2 linked regions of the Alligator mississippiensis genome follow. The protein of the gene in region 1 purifies or fractionates together with the protein of each later gene. This does not show direct contact. Links are inferred from orthologs where the notes say so. Each region holds a gene or a part of one and is shown on either strand. Other genes may lie near its edges.

Region 1 (10,824 bases):
ACTGCTCTTTGTCGCAACATCTTCACACAGCGAATTCCTTCCATTCCTATTGATATTTTTAAAGATATTTACGTACTGAACGTGTCACGCACCCACCCCTAAGCCACTTATTTTCCAAATTGCATAGTTTTGAAACAGGATCATATTGCAAAGCTCATGTTTAAATATGATGCCTAACCTTGCCCCTAGTTTCAATTTGCTAGGGAAATGGAACATTTTAAAAGAGGACTCTAGTATGAATGCATTGTGCAAGACGCACTCAAAAATAAATAAGTAAAAATAGAAATAAATACATCTGGTTTAAAATTCACTTTATTCTGCACTGTTTTCTATACTGCCATAGGCAGTATAGAGAACCAGATGGGGGTTCTTATTGGCATTCTTCTCAACATTTCATGCCCCCGTTTTTATGGAAAATAAACTTGGTTTTAGGGGGTTTATTTGGAAGTCAGGCTTGTCAAGTGCTTCACTAACATTTATCTCATTTTTGACCAGCTATAATGGCAAATACGCAGTTCAGTGCCCTTCCTTACAGGCTGCAAGACAGACAAAATATCTAGGGGGACACATGATGCACTTCATTTTGGAAAGAATGAGTCTCCCTTTTGTGGCTGGTCTTTATGCTATACTTCTTTCCTCAAAGTCTCCTCCACTGCAGTTTTGTATTCCTAGCAAGATATAATTCCCTAACTTCCCCTTCTCAAACCGCCCCCCTCCCAAAAAAAAGCCCCACATACCTCCCTATCCTACACACACACACACACACACACATTACTGCTGCCCAAGTCACACCACAGTCAAACAGTCTCAAAGGCCACAAATCTTCTTGTAGTCACTTCCCAGCTACCAGTAACATTCACAGTCCCTACCCTATGGTTAATGCAGTCCAGTATCATATATCTGGCTAAGAAAATAAGCGATTCATTTAGTTAGATTGCTGTGGTGCTTTATTCAGGACATGAAGTAATAAGATCTACATCCTACTCTTGGCCATTGAGTATTACCTCTCCAGCATTTGTGTCACAATTTCCTAGATTCTAAGGCTAAAGATCTGCTAGGTCAAGTGAAAACCATGAGTGGAAATGCAAAGCTGTCCCTCCTGATCAGCACAACTACACATCTAATCACATACTGCTATAGTGCATCAGTCCTGGCATGAAGAATACTACATGCAAAAAAGATGCATTTCTAACATTGAAGTCAAGAAAGTCAGGTCCCCATCTGAAAGGAGAGCGGGGGGAGTATAAGGTGCTAGTCAACTGAAATTGGAAAACATGTCCAGGTACTGATAGCCACCATCTAGAAGTAAGTAGGAATCCTACATTAGACTTAACAAAAACCCCCTCAAAGATTCCTTGATAAAGGCAAATATATTCCTTAATCAAAAGGGCTTGAAACAAATCTCCTTGCATTCTTCCGGTTGAATCCCCAACTCAGAAGCCTTACCTCAGCTCTTTGCAGCCTAGTTCTCACCCAAACTGGAATCTATGCTACATTTTGAGCAATCCATCAAGACATGTTGTCCCAAGGAGATGGGATGAAAACAAATCTGGATATTGCCCACAGACTGCAGCCCATCATTCTCCACCAACTGTCCAAAAAACATCCTCTTACATACATTAGAAGTGGAGGTGACAAGACACTCCTACAGGCGAGCACTCAGCAATTGCCAAATACAGGTTTCCCTTGCTTTATGCTGCAAGTGTTCCCAGAAAACAGTGCATAACTCTAATTTGCATAAAGAGAACCCACTTTACAATGTAACAAATAGGGATACCTTCCAAGTCCTCCACTATACTGACCCCCAGATCCATTTCTACCATTTTTACAAGACCATTTTAGTACTCACCAACAGCAAACAGTATACACAAGCACAGGGATGACAGCTACAGAAATACGTGTTGCAGACAACGAGTGAGAAGCACATACCCACACAGACTATATTTTGGTGCACATCACTCCCACAATGCACCGCACAAAGCAGCTGACTGCGGGCCTCCACCACACTGAGATTAAGAGTGAGTTCACAGTGCATATAACAAACTTTTGGTACAAGAAGAGTCATCACTTAAGAGTGAATTCACACATACAGAACCTGCATAAAGTGAGGGAAACCTGTACTGTACTCTAAGATCTTCCAGAAGGGAATGAAAGTGACCTCCCCAAAACTCACCTTCAAGTGCATTAAGGTTTGCAATCACATCATCTCTACTTCACGGCAACGGTATTGAGAGCAATGACTGAGCCAGAGCATGGACATCTAGCCTTCACCCAGCCAGGAAGACCAAAGGCCAAACAACTACAGGATCTCTGTAGCATCCCTCAACTAGAAGAGACAGATGCTGAAGAACTCAATGCACTGCTGGATCTTTGGTGAGAAGTGACAGCAGTCACCTGTATCCTTCCCACAGATACTCAGACATCAGTGGTATTATGAGCATTCCCATCCCAGACAACATGTCCCTAATCTGACCTGAAGGAATCACTTGGCAAAGCCTGACTAATTCAATTCCACAAGAAACAAGCCTTCAGCTCCTCAAGACTGGCAGCAAAGGTGCCAATTAGCATTTTAAAAGAACACCTGTACTGGAAAATAATTTAGCCTCTGTGAAATGAATTGGTAACTGGCAATCAGGGATGAACTACCAACACACACTGAGTTTGTGCTACCAGCTAGAAGACAGCAATAAAAATGCAAGGAACCCCCCCTCCCCCCCAAAAACCCCAAAACAAAACAAAAAAAATCTATGGACAAGATTTATTTTTTTATTTTTACAGGATTGCTCATACTGCCCAACCCAAGTAACTGCCCCAAAATGCAGCAGAGGTCTTCCAACAGGCAAAGATCTTATGCAATTTACGTGCTGCAAGAACTTCAGTTTGATGATGCAAGTCAAGACTGCAACATTAGGCATGACTGAATTTCTGTGCCTCTGCTGGCAAGATTTACAACCTTCACATTACAACAGCTTTTTTTACAGTAATACATTACTCAAAATCATTTCCTGAGCACTGGGCCTGCAACATACCAAGAACCGATTAGCAAAATCGTAACATCAGACGCATGTGACTTTCAACCGATAGCAAGTCTGCAACTAATGAACACTCAGACCGGGAGCGCACCTTCTGAAAAGGAAATCCAGAAACATGCAGTCATTATTAAGTTTCTACATTTGTGAAGCAAACTGCTTTCCTCAAGCAGCTCAAGATGGTCGTTTACAGATTTCCCCGCTCGTTGCGTACGGCAGCTCCGAAGCAGAAATCCGACCGTGCCGCTTGCGTGCAACTCGGCTTTCCAAAACTCCCAGGGCCAAAGCACACACCAAGTGCAGACGCTGCCTCAGCCTCAGTACGTGCACCCAAAAGCTTGCACAAAGAATTTCTCCAACTATTTGAGTTGGTCTAATAAAAGAGATCAGATTTACCCAAAGAACCTTGTCAGTCCATGCCCTTAGACCAGCGTTTCCCAACTTTTCCCAGCCCAAGGTGCACTTACATGAATAAAATTTTTTTTTCTGCGGCACACCTGTTAAGGCATCCCCCATCCACGCACCTACTGTAGAGCTCGCTGCCACCGCGGCACGCCCGTTCGTTTCTGACCGCACGCTTTTGTGCCGTGGCACCCTGGACACTGCCTTGGACCAACACGGCTACCGCCTACACCCCAGAGCAGAACTCATCCCGTGTGAACGGGCAGCAGAGCCCGGCTCCACGCCTCGATCTCCCTGCATCTCGCGGGGCTGTCGATACCCATTAGAAAAGGACTCAGAAGACATCACTTCAGAAGGGAGAACACGGAGGCTGAGGAGGAGCTCGGCCAGCAACCCCCCCGCCCACCAGCACCAAGCAGCAAACCCCACCGCTCACGGGCAAGAAGGGATGCCCAGCCCGCCGCGGGGTCAGCCCGGGGAAGCCGCCACAGGCTAGCATGGCCACAGCCGCGAATGCACCCAGCTGCCTCGGGCAGGCACCAGGCCTCGGCCTCCCCCTGCGGCCACCGGGGCGGGGAGGGGCCCGCCGGGGATGGGATGCCCGAGAGCTGAGCCCGGCGGCGCACCTGGTAGATGGCGAGCCAGCTGGCGGCCTGGTCCAGGCGGCGGAACTCCTTCTCCACCTCCATGCTAGGCGCGCTCCGCGCCCGGCCCCCGCCGGCCACCGCGCGCTGCTCCCGGGGCTGTGGCTCCAGCTGCTCGCGGCTCTGCATGTCACCCCCTCCCCCCGCCGGAACTACGCCACCAGACCGGCCCACGCACTTCCGGCCCGGCCCCCGAGCGGCGCGGGGAAGCCCCGCCCCGTCGCCGAAGCCCCGCCCCGCGTTCCGTTAGCTCTCGGGGCGGGGGGAGGGAGGAGCTGTGCGCTGAGGGCTGGTCCCGCGACTCCAGCAGCTGGAGCTTCGCACGAGACCCCGGGGCTCCAGCCCCTACAAGCAGAGGGGCTGCTGAGAAGCGGTTGTGCTGGGTAGTTTCAGGCTGGAGGGATAGGGAAAGCTGCCTGGACCCTCTCAGCCCTGCTTGGCATTGCCCCTTCTCTGAGGCAGCAGTGCAGGCCTGCTGCCCTCATGCTGGAGGCCCTTGGGGCAGAGGTTCTTCATCTTCTCGAGCAGTGCTTCTCCATCATGTTTTGCGGATGCGAGGCAGCCTGGGGAAGAGGCGAGGTGCCCCCGGGAAACGGCAGTGCTTCCTTTTCGCTTGATTTGCGACGATGGGGAAGATCACAGGGTGGCTCTTGTGTTGCCGAGTGCCGCGACCTGTGCAGAGCTGTGGTGAGGGAGCAGCTGCACGAGGTGTCCCAGAGATTTCTTTGCCTGAAACACCGAGTGGGCACCCTGTTAACCTGGTCTTCGTGGGAATGGGTCTTTTCCAGTTTTTTGATTTCCCCCAAAATCTACAGGCTTGTGCCCATTGATGCTTCCAACGCTCCCAGGTATTTTTGGATTGATGACATGCAGTTTTCAAAAGCTATCCTATTACATCTAAAAAGAAGGAGGAATTGAATGTGGGTACTAAATGATCTGTATAACTTGTCACACTTGGCAGCTCTGGCCCGAAGCAGCCAGATCAGGGTCATATGTCCCTCTTCGTGGACTGTCTTTTTCTAGGGCAAGAGAGACAGATAAGGTGGCTGAGTGCTGCCCCTCTAACTGCAGAGGAGTACCCTTATCTTAGGCCTAGGTAACTAGTATTCAAAATGGCTGAGTCCCTGAATCCCAGCCTCCAGGAATTGCCCCATCTTCAAATCAATTCTAGACTTAAAACCTCACTGTGGCATCTCCGTGGGACATTTTGATGAGGAACTCCTAGGACATCGTCAGCATCACTTTCATAATGCGTAAATCTTTCTCTAGTGAGACAGTCTCCCCAGGGTCACTGCCCTTATTCCATATGGCCCTTTCCAAGGTCAGTCCATTCAGGCACTGGCAGTTTAGTCAATTATAATAGTTTATAGCTCTCTAGCACTTTTCATCCTGAAGGATCCCATATGCTCCACAAATGATATACATCTGGCTCTACTGAGATGCAATGAACCCTGGGCAGTAGCTTTTAACAGTACACAGCATTGCTAACACAGCAATTTAAAACAGAAAAGGAAAAAATGTTGCACCATTTAAAATCTTGGGAGTAAATTTTAAGTACGTAGGATCTAATCAGCCCTTCTCTTATGAAATGTGTTATGGGATCTAAAAACACAGGAGGTCAGGGTATTTGTTTCATATTTGAAAGTCATCACCTCTAGTAGCAGAATGCCACCTAGCAAGGGGTCAGTAGTCAATTTTGGTAATTCCTAGATCTAAGCCGAGCTTTTAATACCCTTAGGACCTGCAAAACCTAATTTTAAAAGGGCTAGTTTTTAGTTGGAATGAACAAAGGCAATTTGAATACAGAAGAAAAGAAAAACAAGGACCTTTTAAATTTGTTTAAACTCACTGGATTGATAAGTGTCTACCATTTTAGACATACATATTTGCAACTGTGCTTACAATAGTCCAGATTTCAAGATGACCTAGTTTTAAACAGCCAGTGTAATAAATCCCCATGAAAACGCCTGTAAATAAAATACATGGTGTTCCTGCACTTAGACATTGTGAATGCAAGTCTATAATTACATTTAACTAACAAGTAACAGTTCCACCAGACAGGATCTCCATTTACAATTGGAAAGGTTGTCACTCACATTCAACGCACTTCATACTATCACATTGCACATAATTGTTCCATTATTCCATATTAACATCTCTATTTTATTTAACAGAGGGATAGTCTTATGTTAAACAAGGCTGATACTTTACTGGCAGCTTCTGATATGCCCTTTGGGTGTTGAGCCTGAGGCAATTCGTGTCCTTATTTTCCTGCTTACTGTTAGTGGTATGGTAAGTTAGGCATTCAGAGTGTTTACTGTGAAGAGATAACACAGTTCAAACTAAATGCCCTTCCCCCCCTCTAATTCTACTTCTCCCCCCGACCCGCTTCAGCAATATCAGTTTGTAAAAAGAGGCTTTTATGGTAAATGTGGGAACTGCATATTACCATAAAACTCATATCATGATGGGAAAGACCACCAGACCCTGGGAGTAGAGAGAGTCCAGAATTTCTCAGCACCTTTTTAGGATCAGGAATAGAATTCAATACAAATAGGCATTCATGCCTCAGTGTTTACATAATAATGTGTAGGTATACGCCCCTATGATTTTGGTGTTAATTAACAGGTAGCTTTTCTCCTCTCTGAAAAAAGAAACCTGCGAAGAATTTCCAGCCCCAGCATTCCTGACTACTGGTTTTTAGCTCTGGTTTTAAAGAAACAGAACTTACATACTTATAGTCTTTCTGCTCTTTTTCTATGTAGATAAGCCTGTTTAACAAATTATAGATGTGGACATGCCATATGTGCAGATGTGGACATGTTCTGGAATTGAGGAGGGTTTCAGCTTCATTTATCTGTATTATCAAGTCCCAGAATCCTTTTCAATAATATTAAGATGCTTCTCAAGAAGATTATCTTCCTTCACTAAGAATTCACAGATAGTATCTGTACACACACACAAGATCTAGGTGAGTCTCAACCAGGAAGGATTTTAGGATGCAACCATGCCCATTGGCTATATCTGTACTGCCTTGATGGTCTCTTCATCCAGGTTTATTATTACTATGTACCTGGCTTAAGCACGGGGCAGTTCCAAGCTATATTCTGACAAGCAACACCCCTGAGCCTTGTATTCTTTAAGCAGGCAAAGAGTTACCTTGTAGATAGTGTTGTTCTCTATGAATCTGGTGACTGACAACAGGGGGTTACCCTACAAGTCTGAGGATCCAGCATGGGGTTTTTATTGTAGAACTCCCTATACTGCAGAGGCCTGGAAGTAAAATGTCTAAAGTCACTTCATATCTTACCAGCTTGACATTCAGAGCTAACCACCAGCTGTATTCCCCAGACAGAACCCATGATGGGGTAGAATCAGCTGACCAAATGTCATATGACTGCTTCCTAGGGGAATGTGCGGAAAGGAGTAAGAAAAGATTTTTTGTAGAAGCTGGTGTAAATATACTCCAGAGTGGGAGGTATGGTCTCTCTTCTCAGTTTATGGAAGAGTGAGTCTTTGCCTTTTTGTTGCTGTTTTGAAGTACTTCTATTCTCTGTTTACTAATCATTTGTTTTGAGGAAAGGAGATGGAGCTGAACTTGAGAGAGTAGGCTTTGACTAGGTTGGCTGGTGAATCTGTCCTCTGGTTAACAATGCTCATTAATATTTCTATGACTTGGTGGTGGTGGAACAAATAAGGAACAGGTTTTCTACAAAGCCAGAGAAATAGTCTGTGAGTAGAGAGGAGCATGTTCCTCTCCTCCTGCTGTGTGCTCCACTCTCCATTTGGTCACTCCATATGGCTAAGCCCCTGTGGTAGTGGTTTAAGCTGCCTTTTTGGCACTTTAAGGGCCTGTCTATGTGTACATTAAGGTGCTTTTTCTAATGCATATTAAATTTAGTACCTCCAGTGTGAGGTACTAAAGAAATGTGCATTAGGCTGCCTAAATGCTCAGTAATGAAAGTATTTGCATAATCACGGTTTTCATGTGATGCTTTAATGCACAGTAAAATTGGCTACTGCACATTAAAGTGCATGTGTAGATGTTCCCTGAGAGACCTTTTGGATATATTCTTCTTCTATGACTAAAACTTTAAGCTGACTCCTACAGGTAAACAGATCAGTATCTGTAACTATATAGAAATCACAAGTCGGATGTAGGATGCTGACAAGCCATTGGGCCGACCTTAGTTTTTTTTGCAAAGCTTAGATATAATTTGCAGCCATTACCTGCATCAGGGTCTAGTTAAGCAGTCCAATTTTTGTGGCAAGGCTGGCAGGCAACTTGCAACAGCACCATATAGGATTAGATAACATCCCAGATATTACAAATAGCTATTAAAAAAGGATCAAACAAAGGGAAAGAAAGGGTCTAAATGTGAATAAGCAAATCAGATGTAAGTTTCTTTTACTGGGCTGGCAGCAGCAATGAACTGTATGTTAATGTTAACTTTGCTGATGAAATCATTCTAACAAAAGCCTTGGGGGACGTCACTGGTCACGGAGCACCATAGTGACTCACTGCCATTGACCACTACTCTCTGGGTCCGACCTCGGAGCCAATTTCCCAGCCATCGGACTGTGGTGTAGCCAGGGCCACAGTTGGCCAATTTTTCCATGAGGAGGTCATGGGACACCAGATCAAAGGCTTTTTTAAAATCCAGGTATATGACATCAATCACTTCTCCCTTGTCCAAGTGATACGGCACCTGGTCATAGAAGGAGATGACATTGGTCAGGCAAGGCCTACCCATGACAAACCCATGCTGGCTATCCCTCCCATCTTGGTATGGGTTCTATTCTGCATGTAAGCACAGTTCTGAGCATTGGGTGCATAACACCTGGAATAGTTCTGGGAAGTTCTGTACTTTAAAGGCACCACTCTGAATTACAATGGCTCCCTTAGTTTCTCCTTGCTCTGGGAAGAACCCTATACCTGCAGCAGAAATTACCATGTGTTTTTTCTTACCTGCATCAGTTCAGCAGTAGAAACCCTTGTAGTTTGGATGGGGTTAGGCAGAGGCAGGGGGCCAGTTCTTCCTTCTTTGCTTGGAGTGGTGGAATGAAGACTCATACAATATCCCCCAAGCCTGCATATTGGAATTCTCTGCTTGGTAATCCATGCAGTGATTTAATGGAGAGCTCTTATTCCTATATGAATAACAGTGATAATAGTATGTGAAGAACTGGTGATTATCTGCCTCTCATTGTTGGTGACAGTGATTTCACTGTTAAGAATGACTGCCTCTCTAAATGCCATTTGGTCAACATTTAAGATTTGATTTAGGTGTCATAGTAGTTTTCTGGGATTAACATGGGGATCATGTACAGCTTGGCAGATATTTAACTTAACATAGATTTATGCAAGTTATTGGCCTCATTCTAATCTCCCATCAGTTCTATGCGAGTGCACTTGTCTTTACACTGATGTAATTGCTTCTAATTCCCATTGGTGCAAATCTTAGGCCCAAGTATAATATGTTTTAAAATCAGTTTATGGCTGTCTAGTGCCAAGTTACATTTTGTAGCACCTAAGACTAGATGCACAAGGGGTGCTTAGGCTAGACATTATAAGGCATAGCTCAGATGCCTTGCCAGGTGAGTGCTCCAAGACTGCACTATTGGAACCACCACCCTTTGCTCCATTTTGTATGTGTTGGGGAGCGGGGGGGATGAAGCATGTGTGTGTGAGGTAAACTGCATCAAAGCCTGCAAGTTGCATAGGTGGAGGATCACCTGCTTTGTTAATTAAATCTAAATTTTGGACTGGGTGCCTGAGTTTCTCTTGTGAACCTTGCCATATAGGTGGTCCAGTTTACAGTGGGAGCCTGCTGTCCAAACACATAGTGACAAATGCCTACAGTTTAAGCAAAGGGTTGAAGAGGAAACAGGCACAAAGAAATGAAGTGACATAGCATCATAGAATCATAGAAAATTAGGATTGGAAGAGACCTCAGGAGCTCTTCTGGTCCAACCCCCTTCTCAAAGCAGGACCATCCCCAACTGTCTCATCCCAGCCAGGGCTTTGCTTTCTGGGTCTTAAAAACTTCTAAGGATGGAGATTCCACAGTCTTTCTGGGTAGCCTCCAGTGCTTTATTTACCTGCCTAGTGAGAAAACTTTTCCTAATATCTATTGTGCAGAGCCCCCCATGCAGCATGGGGCAGCGGGGATTGGCCCTCCCCCCTGCGCCAGGTAGCACCCAGTGAGTTGGGCCTTTTTTTTTTCTAGTGCCGGGAGCTGGGCTGGGTGGGGCAGCCACTGCTGGGCTGGGAGAGCGGGTGGGGGATGGGCTTGGGTGATTCAGATCAGCCGTATCTCTGAATGAGATTCTCTCTGAATGAGATTCAGCCGAATCAATTCATGACAGTGATTTGAATCACTGTCTGTCAAATCGGCCAAATCCGAATCCAAAGTGAATACTAGCTTCTTCGCACAGGCCTACTGTTCACCTCTTCCCCAAGCTGTGCTTCCAGGTGCAGTAGTCTGGTAGCTGACCTTGCATGTGAAGCCTGAGGTTAAAAAAGCATCAAGTACTTCGACCTTTTTTGCATCATCTGTTACTAGGCTGCCTCCCCCATTCCATAAGGGACTCGCACTTTCCCTGCTCTTCCTGTTGTTCCTGACATACTTGTAGAAACCCTTCTTGTTACCTTTCATGTCCCTTGCTAGTTGCAGCTCTGGTGTGGTTTGACCTTTCTGATTTCATCCATGCAGGCCCAAGCAGTCTTATACTCTTCCCTAGTAGTT
Region 2 (10,673 bases), on another chromosome or scaffold:
TCCACAATGGCCTCTCACTGTGTCATCTGCAGGGTTAGGGACCTTTGCCACTTGAGTTAAGAGTAGCTGGTAGCCATAAAAAGCTGCAGTCCTCTAGGCAAGCTAACTGCGATATGGGAACGTTTTGCTCTCATCGTCATTTGAATCAGAATTTCATCCATGATGTGTCTGCATGAAATCAGATAATAGTTATACCTAGGAGTCTACCAAACTCAAGGAGGTGGCCAGCCAATTTTGCAGGCAGATCCTTGAGCCGGCCACCATTTTTGTGGGCTGAGTGCTGCGGGGCCCCCCACACCTCTGGTTGGCTGAGAGGCCCCAGAAGTCCCACCCCTCCCTGCAGACTGCTACATGCTCTGAACCAGTGGCTTAATTACCCCACTAAGCCTAGGGAAGCCATTAATCCACATGTTATTAAGCATCAATTAATGACTTCCTGGGCTTAATCAGGGTAATTAAGCTGTGGTTTCAAGCCATCCCCAAGGAACGGGCTCCCCATTTCTGGTGGGGTTACTGCAAAAAAAATAAAGTAAACTTACCAGCAAGCAGAGAAAAGCATGTTGGAAGCCCTGCAGTCTTGGGTGGGGGGAGGTAGAGGCGGAGGGCAGGGGGGAGGGAAAGGGGGGGGCAGGCAGGACTGCTTCAGCCCCTCCACCTCTCCCACCCCCTCCCCCAGACCTCCCCCCTCTGCCTTCCCCTCTCCCCAAACCCCAAGACTGCAGAGTTTCCCATACACTTTTCTCTGCTTGCTGGTAGGTTGGGGTGGGGGGGTTATTTATTTATTTATTTTTTTTGCAAGTCCACAAAAGCGCAGCATCTGTGCTTTTTTCGCAGAGCCCACCCAAAATTACAGTTTCCGCGAAAATAGCACAATTGGAATTTTGGTAGGTCCCTAGTTATAGCGTAACAAAAGATCCTGCTTAAATATAACATGAATATGTACTCAACTGAACTACAGAAGTAGATGCATCAGTTCTACTTCTTCCACATCAGGACTGTATTATTTGTATAGTTATTAATTTATGTTTATTTCTTAAAACAAAAACCAAAACCTATTCTAAAACATGTATTCTCCTACTTTGCTCTATGAGAAAATTTTAGAGATATCAACCTTACTTCTTAATTTTATCTGATATGAGAGAAATCCTTGGGTACGTTTTAATTTCAAGTTTTTAAGTCTTTCATTACTGGGTGCCACAGAAGAATGGAACTCTTTGCTTTTAAATGTTGACACATATTTTAAAGTCATTTACATAAAGGAAAGCAACTATTTTTAGCTGGCAGACTAAAAAATATATTGTATAACTCAAGTGCCCATAAATGACAAAATGCTTAAGTTTTATATCATCAGTCATCAGGTTTTCAGACACATGAAATGATTAAACCAACTCAACTGGAATTACATAAAACTGATCTTTGCCCTACTAAGAAAATGTATATATTATTACACTAACTTAATTACTCTTACATTGCCACTGAGTCACACTGTGCCTTGCCCTTAAGCCCAAATACATAAGAAATGTGGGTGAGAGTTGACAAAACAAACAACATTCCTGCAACTGCCTAGTACCGGAATCCAAGACAACTTTGAATTTAAGACAACCTCCAATAATTAGTTTCTATGCATGGGAAAATTATGTTTGTTATAATTTTCCATGTATAGATTCTAATTGTTGAAGAGTCATTTAAAATTCATTTTAAATTCAAATTTAGCAATTACCTACCTGGTGCCTGCTCCCCCTGCCACTTGCTCCCCTTGCTTTCACTTACCCTGCAGTAGCTTCAGCTGTCCCCAGGCCCTGCCCAGATAGCAGTGGCACTGGCAGCAGCAGCTCCAGCCCTGGCCAGGTCAGGACCAGAGCCACTGCAGCTCCCCTGTGCCACATACCACATTCTTCCCCATAGTCACCCCCTGACATCTTCCCTATGTGGTCCCCTCCATTCCTCTAGTCTCCTCCTGCACTCCTGCCCATGGTCTCCTTTGCATCCCCTAACCCCATACCACACCACACAGTCTCCCCAGCTCCCCCCATCTTGCACTGTGCTGTCTCCTAAACTGCCCCCCTCCAACTCTGAGCAGACTCCCCAGCATCTTTCCTCCCTGCACTCCCCACCACTGTGTGGTCTTCCCCATGCCCCCCCACTGCACAAGCCACCTCAACCTGATATAAGTATATCAGGGGTGTGCATCTGGATCTGGGAGAATATCTGTCCACCTGGGCACCAAGGAAAGACGAGGTCCAATGGTCACAAATTGCTGGAAGACAAGTTTTTGCTTATGCCCAATCTAAAATACTTTACGTCTGAGTCTCCAGAGTCTGAAACAGACTCCCTCCAGAAGCGGTGCAAGCATCTGACCCCAAATGACTTCCTGCCCTTTGCGCAGGGGGCTGGACTCAATGATCTCATGAAGTCCCTTCCAGCCTTAATGTCTATGAAATCTATGAAACCCACTCTGGCCCCAGCAAGGCAGCAGCTCCAACCATGGCCCTCAAATACAATACAAGACCCATCTCCCCACATTAAATGGGGAAAAATCTTCATCTTGGATTTGAGTAAATATAGTATATAATAAAGTTAGAGTGGGCACTATGAAATTATGTTCCAATAATGCTTCAAATAATTCTTTAATATTTCTTCAAGCTTCATATCATACTATTCCTAAAACACGGCCTAGGCCAGATATATGATACAATCTCTGGTCAGGGAAGTGAGGAAGTGGGGTTTGTGACCAAAGCTGTGTTGGCAAAAATGGACAGCATTGATGCGTTTCTATTGTACATTTTATTTTAATACACTGGAAAGAGCAGGGTAGGGTATGAAAAAAGTGCCAAGAAAAGGGCAGATTTATTGGTATAAGTCACACCCACAATAAAAGTGTTTTGCTGGTACAGTAACTGGTATAACTATCCCACTGAATCGACCCCAGTATGAGCCTGTCCTCACACTTCATGTTGTTCCCCAAACAGAATGTTGAAACCAGACCTTTTCAAAGGGTAAAATTCACTTTTACCTGCAGAGAGACAATGTAATCAAGCAATCAAGTAATTAGGAGAAGGAAACAGGCCAGACTACAAGGTGAAGGGTAGCCATTGCTCCTTACTCAGATTCTATACACTGTGACCCACTGCCCCTTCTAGATAAGACCTGTTCACAACCTGCAAAGAGCTTTCTTCCTGACAAGCTGTGATAAGAAATTCTCTAGCCCAAGGCTCAGCAACATTTTCTGGCAGCAGGCTAGAATCACCCAGCTCGGATCCAAAGCTAGGATCCTGCTGCTACCACAACTTCTCCCCCGGCCACTTTTTTGCCACTTAGCTGCAGTGTAGCACAGGCAGAGTCCCTGCTCCACTGAATGCCAGTGAGTTCCCAGTCCATGAGCTTTGTGGGTTGACAACCCCTGATCTAGCCCATCTGCTTGCTCTACTCCCCAGAACCCACATCCTGCAGAAGAGCACCACAAGATTTAGATGGTACACAGGGCTTTGGATGATTTGTATCACTATTAACATGGTAAACCCATGTGTATTTCATTATGACAAGCAAGCCCCAACTGAACAGAATAAAAAAAAGAAAAAACTTGATAAAAGGACTACCCCTGCTCCAAGTATAGCTACATTAACGATATGATTCAGCAAATTAGTATAACATAGGCTGATGGGGTGGAGGGAGGATGAGGCAACACTAATAAGAGGATATGTACGTAGGCTAGTGATGCAAGAACTGTTGTTCACCATCTGCCAGGCTTTTAACAGGTAGGGTACTCTAAGTTTCATAGCCAGCGGCTGATAAAATGCTGCAGGGAAGAAACAGCCACCAATGAAGGAAGGTGACAAACTGACAAGCAATGAAGACTGCTTTGGCAGAAGCAGCGTGTAAAATGGATTTGAGGAAGGCAAGGATCCAAAAAATGAGATTACAGTAGCCACGATGCAAGAAAAAACTGGACATGGAGAAAGGGCTAGATGAGGGTCAGATTATTTTGATTCAAAATTGCTTTTGAATGATCTAAAAACTGCCTTTTAAAGCAAGAACTCTCTCCTTTCCTCACCCAACCACATATGCCATTCTACTCAACATTTAAGAGCAGCTCCTGGGACTGTCCAGGGGCCCACAGGACCAAAAAAGACCACTGCTCATCTGTGTCATGCCCTTCACTGGCCGCACGCACCGGGGATTGGTGCCTGAGTGCCCGATCTTCTAGCATACAGGGCCATGCTATCTGGCCCACGGAAGTGCTGCACAGGCCTGGAAATTTGGCAGCAGGGGAGCAGCAAACTTTCCCCATCACCAAATTTTCAAACTTGTGGGCAGCCCCACAGGCCAAAAAAAGAGGCTCTGGGAGCTGGGTCTGGCCCACAGGCTGAGCAACCCCCCGTCTAGAGCGAGTAACCTCCAATTAAAAAATGTACTGTTGAGATTAAACTGCCTGGCTGTTATTTTCTTCAATTCAGCCAAGCGCCCCAAAAGCCACACAATGGGTACACGCAGGCTCTTGTCCTGACTGCTTTCACGCAAACCAGCGCCCACATCTTGAGGTGCTGTTCAGCCCCGGGGACCTGTTCCTGCTCGTTGTTCCTGCTCACTGCTTTTCTTAGCTTATCGTTTGGGCAGCAAAAACGGGGGGGGGGGGGCGGGAGGTGGGAAGAGGCCGAGCTCCATCCTCCCCGATGTGTCCCGGGGGTTTAAGACCACCCCCCGGCCCGCAGGGGCGAGGGCCGCGCTGCCCAGCACTGCCGCGCCTGCAGCACTTCCCCCTGGGGCACTGCGGGCAGCGCCGGGGGCAGGGCAGGGCCCGGGATGGGGCCGGGGTCCAGGCGCTGCCCGCCCCGCGCGAGCGCTCACCCGTGCTGCGCAGCCTCCTGGCGCCGCTTGTTGAGGAGGCAGAGCAGGGCGCAGGCGGCCGCGGTAGCGCCGGCCATGGTGGAGTAGCGCACGGTCAGGTACTTGCTGTAGGCCGCCATGCTGGAGCGCCGCACAGCCGGCTCGCCGAGCCGAGCCGAGCCGAGCCGAGGCGGGCGGCGCGCGGGGGATGCCGGGAGCCGCCCGGCGATTGCGACAGCAGCGCCCGCCCCCGGGCCCGGGGCCAGGGGAGGGCCGGGCCGGGCCGGGCCGGGCGGCGGGAAGCCTCGGACAACAGACGGCGCCTCGGGGAGAGCTGTCACCTGTCACCAAGGTGAAGGTTGTCCCTCACCCGAGGGCTGGTCCTGCTCACAGGCCTGCAGCGCCCTGGTACAAGGTGGGGATTAAAAGCTTTTTCAGCATTTTGCTGCAAGTTTGTTAAGTGATGCTCTGACTTGTGAGGAGGAGGGGACTTTTCATCCAGTCCCACATGACGTGCTCACAGGTGACCTGGAGAAACGCAGACCCGATAACATGACGCTGAGGTGGAGAGGTGACTGGTCCTGTACCCGCCAGCGAAGGGCAAGGCCGAATGGGCAAGGGTCGGACCGGGAGGTGTCCCACAGCGGTCCGGGGTCCTCTGCTAGCGAGCGATGCCCGAGCAAAGAGCTTCCTGATCAAGCTGGCAGATGACACCGCACTGGGAAGGACTGGGAACACAGTGGAGGATAGGAGTAGCGTTCAGACGGCTCTTGATAGCTTGGGCTGGAGACAACAGAAGGAAGTTCAGTGCAGACAGACGTAAGATGCTGCAGCTGGGGAAGAATGATTAAATAAACAATGGGAGATAACTAGGTGGGTGGCAGCCTTCCCAGTCTTGCTAGGAAGAATCTAGGGCAATGATTTTCAGCCTTTTTAAGACTTGAGGTGCCCCTTGGAGAATGCCAGCTCTTAGTTTTCACTTGTTTTTTTTACTACAAATAAAAAAACAGAGCAATTTGTTTGTTGCAAAGAAGCCAGAAAGACCACAACAGGCCTGAATGGTTTTGACACTGTGGATTCGTATTTGGAACCTGAGTTTACCTTGTGACTCCTGCGTGCATATCCAACCATGCTAATATCGTGTGGCACTCTGGCTACGAATCACTGATACAGAAGTTTTGATGGATCACAGACTCGAGTCATCAACGTGGCACAATTACAAAATTTTGTACCATATCAACAGGAGTATTAAGTGTAAGACATGAGAGGTAGGAGTACCACTCTACCTGGTATTGGTTATATCAGAATACTGTGTTCAGTCCACATTTTAAGAAGAATATGGAGAAGTTAGGGTTTCAGAGGCAGGTGACAAAAATGATAAAGGGGTTAGGAGGCAGGCCATATGGGGAAAGCTTAGAGAAAAGGAGATTAAGTGGGGACTTGATAGCAATCTTCAAATATTTGAAAGGCTGCCATAAAAAAGTGAAAATGACTGTTCACCCTTGCCCCAGAGGACAGGACACAAATCAATAGCTTTAAATTGCAGCAAAGTAGATTCAGATTAGATATCAGGAAAAATTTCCTCATTGTTAGAATACTAAGGCAGTGCAATAGACTGCACAGGGGTACTGGACAACGGGGATACAAGCACTGATCAGGAATAGCCTCGGAGTAGCATTCTGGCATTTGTACAGGGGTCCAGACAGATTAACCCTTGAGGTCCCTTCCAACCCTATAATTCTATGACATACCCGAAGCGGATACCATCAGAGTATCAGCTAACTAGTTAGTTGAAGAAATGGTTTGTGTGGACACAGTTGCAGCAGTGTAGATGTGCTTTATAACTCTATAACTACTTTCTTATAGAAAAGAGAAAAACTCTACCAGTGTATCAGGTCTACATGAGAAAAGTTTTGCTTGTATCACTATACTAGCAAATACTCTTAGTATAGATGCAGTTATGCTATCAAAAAGTGTTTTGCTGGTGGAGGTTATGTCAATCTGAAAACCAAAAAAAGTGATACCAGCAAAAGCAGTTACTGCACTACAGCTATTTACTGGTTGTGAAATATCGCCAAACTCAAATTCCTTGCCAACATTTTTAAGCTGGCAATGCTTTCAGTGTACCTATATAACTTAGACCACAGTAGAACTTTCACTGGTATAATTATTTCAAAGTGGGAAAGGAAATTGCATCCTCTCACCAAAATAGTTACAGTAGTGTAGAACAGGCCCTTGCTAGGATCCAGTGAGGATGTGGTGGTGTAATTGCATTCACTTCCAGCTGTTATACATGAACTCTCAGTGTGGAGTGTGCCGAGACCTCCTGCTTTCATGTGGCTTCAGGGCCCAGAGTGTAAGTGCTACTGCCCACCTCTCTACCCTGCTGCTGAAATCAGAGGGGAGGGTAAGAGAAAGGAAAGGCTAACAGCAGTAGCAGTCCCCCAGGCTCCAGAGCCCTACAAAAATGGTGACTCTGGCCAGACCCTGTCCTCACTGGTTATATGGGGCTCCAGTAGGCACTCATACTGACCAGGCAGTGAGCTCAGAACTCATTGCACAGGCCATGGCACTGCCAAATTAGGTGACTGCATTCTCCCTTGGCCCCTTCTTGAATATGCTTCTGCTAGAATTGGCTTATCAACTTTTCTTGGGGAGAGAGGGGGAGTGTTCATATGCAGACTTACTTTGAAATAGCTGCATGGCTTTCAGTTCACACCTTTGCAAGTCAGCATGTAGACTAACCCTCAGACAGATAACCCTGGAAAGCCTCACTACAGAATTTGCCCTGAGTAGATGAACCAGTTGCTCTATTCTAGTTGCAGCATACACACACTTGCCCTTTACTTTTAGAAAAATCTACTCAATTCCCTTCCCCAGCTGGCATACTATAGGAATTTGCACTGGATGCAAAAGAAAGTACTAGGAAGAGGTAAAAGCAATCACATGCCCAAGAGTGCTTCCATTGTTTCCATTCCCCCAGTTTTCTAGGCTTCTCTGTCATTCTTCAGTATGAATGATATAGTGCATCTGCCTTTTGCTTCTCTTGCATTATCAGGCACCATACACTCTCTTGGGAAATTTAAGATGACCCAGTCCCTAGAGTTTCAGAGCATCGTTATTATATAAAATTAAAGTTGACAGAGAGAGAGGGCATACATTTTTTAGATTATTTCTAGAGTATTGGATTCTGAGTATTAGATTCATGTCCTTTCCCCCCACCCCAACTTTATATGTGACTTTAGGTAAGTCAGAAAACTCACAATGATTCAGTGTTTACATATGTTAAATTAAGATCACAGACGTGCTTTGAGGAATAAATAGAGTTGGAGTGTTGTTATAGCCATAACTAGCAAATTGCCTCTCATGAATGATGGGGAGGGAGCAGGCAGGGATGGAGCGCTGCAGCCACTCTGCCTCCGGCCCTGTGGCCCCCCCCACCCCCTGTGTCCCCCATCCTCTGCTCCTGTTTGTCTGCTGGAGTGGGGCGTGGCCGCCCCTTGGATGTGGCGGCAAGGCTGGAGCAGAGAGCCGAGGCCAGTGCTGCACTGCCAGCACCCTGCGCTGCCGCCGCCTCCAAGGAGCAGGGCCAGGGGGCAGACCAGCACTACTGGCCTCACCCCCCTACTTCGGCCCCTCAGTTTCTGCCAGCATGGTGACGCTGTGCCGTGTGTGTCTGTCTGTGCAGAGCACTCTGATCGGTTGTTTTAGTCAGCATTGTGATTGGCTGCCGAGACAACCAGTCAGAGCATGAATAAAGCATAATGGACAGACAGACAGACAGACAGACACACTAAGGTTTTTTATTATATTAGAATGAAAATGCTGGAGAAGCAAGGATTTTTTGTGATATTTTTTATTGGACCAAGTGTATACAGTAGTTGGGAGAGCTGAAGAACAGCCCTTGATGCCCAAAAGCTTGTCCACCAGCTCTCCCAACTGTAGAGGTGGTCCAATAAAAGATATCACAAAAAATGCTTGCTCTAAGATCCTCAGAAGAAAAATGCGACAGATATGCAAAATATTGTTAGTAAATTCATGCGCATCAAGGTTTTATTCTCTTTTGCTGAGTAGACCACATGCATTACTTACACATTTATACTTAGACCTCATAGCAACAGATACATTTTGTAGGAACATAAATAAGGGCAGTTCCATCATTTTAAGTCAAATAATTTGCATCATTTAAATTGTGAAAAAAGGAGTGCTGTTCTGATTCCAAGGGTTCACTGAAGCTTTACAAGTAAACTGCTGCTGCTTTTCATCTCAGGTCATCTTTGCAGACATACAGAGTGTAGTGTCACCTTTCATTCCTTTCCAGGCTTGTTTATCCAGTAAGTCCAGCTTGGCCATGGTCCCCTGTGCCCCAGTATCTAACCGTCTAGTTGGCTGCCAGCCTCTAGGGCAGACTGACCATGGCTGTGTTTGCATGATTTTCTTTGGCATTCTGTCATCTGTTTGTCTTCTGCAATAACCCAACTATTATGGTCTTCTGAGGCATAACTACTAGGGCCTGTGCCCTCGGGAGCAGCAGTGGCAGGGCCAGTTGGGACAGAGATTGTGTCCATGGCCTCCATTTCCTTTAGTGGTGTCTGTTTCCCTAAATGCACTTGCTTCCAGTCCACAAAGTAATTTTGTCAGTATATTAATCTGATGCATTTGCACTTTGATACCAAACAGAATGTTTCTGTCAGTCTATAATTATAGTAAATTCTGTGTAGTCTTGTCACTCAGACAGATCCTTGATGAAACTGAGTCTTGATCAAGTATTTTATGTATGCATAAAAATCTACTTTTTCTATGCCTACTACCACTTCAGTATTTCATCTATTGTCCTTTTTTTCCTAGATGCAAACACTGCATTTTTGGGTGTTTATTCTAAGTGACTTGTCCTGATTTTCTAAGGTGGTATCATAATTAATTTTCTAATGGTATCATCATTAATTCAAGTTATATGCATAAGAAGCTTAACTCTAGATTATCCAATACCACAATCTCTATCTTATCTAACATGCTTTATGTGCAGTTCACGATCATAAGATTACATGCCCCCTTGTTTTACACAAGCCTTGCCTTGAAACAATTTCATAATTTTCCAGCAATTCAGGAGTCTTTCCAGTGATTTTACAGCATTTCAGGAGTCTTTATATACACAGGTAGTTTTATATCACTGTTCTCTTACCTGAAATGAGGAATGACTACTAGTTTCTACTGTCAGTTCACCAGCAGCTATTTTTACTTTGTATGTCAGTGGCCTGATTCTATTTCCATACAACTTTACATTTATGGATATTGTTTCCATACCTTATTTTTTTGATGCTTTGTTTTTTTAGTCTCTTTTCCCCCAAACCTTTGCTTGTCCAATCTTTATGATTTCTTCACTTATTTACATAATACTTTTACTGTTCCTGCTTTCCCAGAAGTAGACTGGTTTACATCTTTCTTACAGTGCTGTTTTGCTATTTGTCCTCCTTTTCTTAGTTTGCTTACACTTTCCAACAAGTTTTTCTGCTGGATTTTGTATCACTTCTTTGAATATTTCCTATCCCATCCACGGAAATTAGGTTCCTGAATATCTTTGAGTTGTGGTATGTTAGATCAGGATTGTTAGCTCCATGTAAGTAATGCTTTATACAATTCCAGTCAAGACAAATCTACTTTAGTACATGCTAAATTAGTACAAATAATCTTTAAAATGAAAGTTTTATCCTTTTCTCTAAGTCTTACCCTAAGCTGGAGGGAGCTTCATAGAATATGGCTGCCAAACTCTAACAAGTATCTACTGTGCATATATAAAGTGAAAATTTTGGGGGCTATACACTGGATAAACCTGGGTGAATTTTCAAATG

What was found.
Region 2: the proteins of PTPN1 (region 1) and ABCD3 purify together in Homo sapiens (affinity purification with mass spectrometry; 3 studies listed by BioGRID and IntAct, with this or other methods). This does not show direct contact. The link is inferred for Alligator mississippiensis from reciprocal best matches to the Homo sapiens genes PTPN1 and ABCD3.

Annotation. Positions count from the first base shown.
Region 1 is NC_081832.1:12,950,370-12,961,193, forward strand, and holds the start of PTPN1 (tyrosine-protein phosphatase non-receptor type 1), read right to left. Parts: upstream 4,221-10,824; 5' UTR 4,205-4,220; coding exon 4,058-4,204; intron 1-4,057. UniProt on the Homo sapiens protein: Tyrosine-protein phosphatase which acts as a regulator of endoplasmic reticulum unfolded protein response. Mediates dephosphorylation of EIF2AK3/PERK; inactivating the protein kinase activity of EIF2AK3/PERK.
Region 2 is NC_081828.1:34,235,962-34,246,634, reverse strand, and holds the start of ABCD3 (ATP-binding cassette sub-family D member 3), read right to left. Parts: upstream 5,019-10,673; 5' UTR 4,965-5,018; coding exon 4,846-4,964; intron 1-4,845. UniProt on the Homo sapiens protein: Broad substrate specificity ATP-dependent transporter of the ATP-binding cassette (ABC) family that catalyzes the transport of long-chain fatty acids (LCFA)-CoA, dicarboxylic acids-CoA, long-branched-chain fatty acids-CoA and bile acids from the cytosol to the peroxisome lumen for beta-oxydation.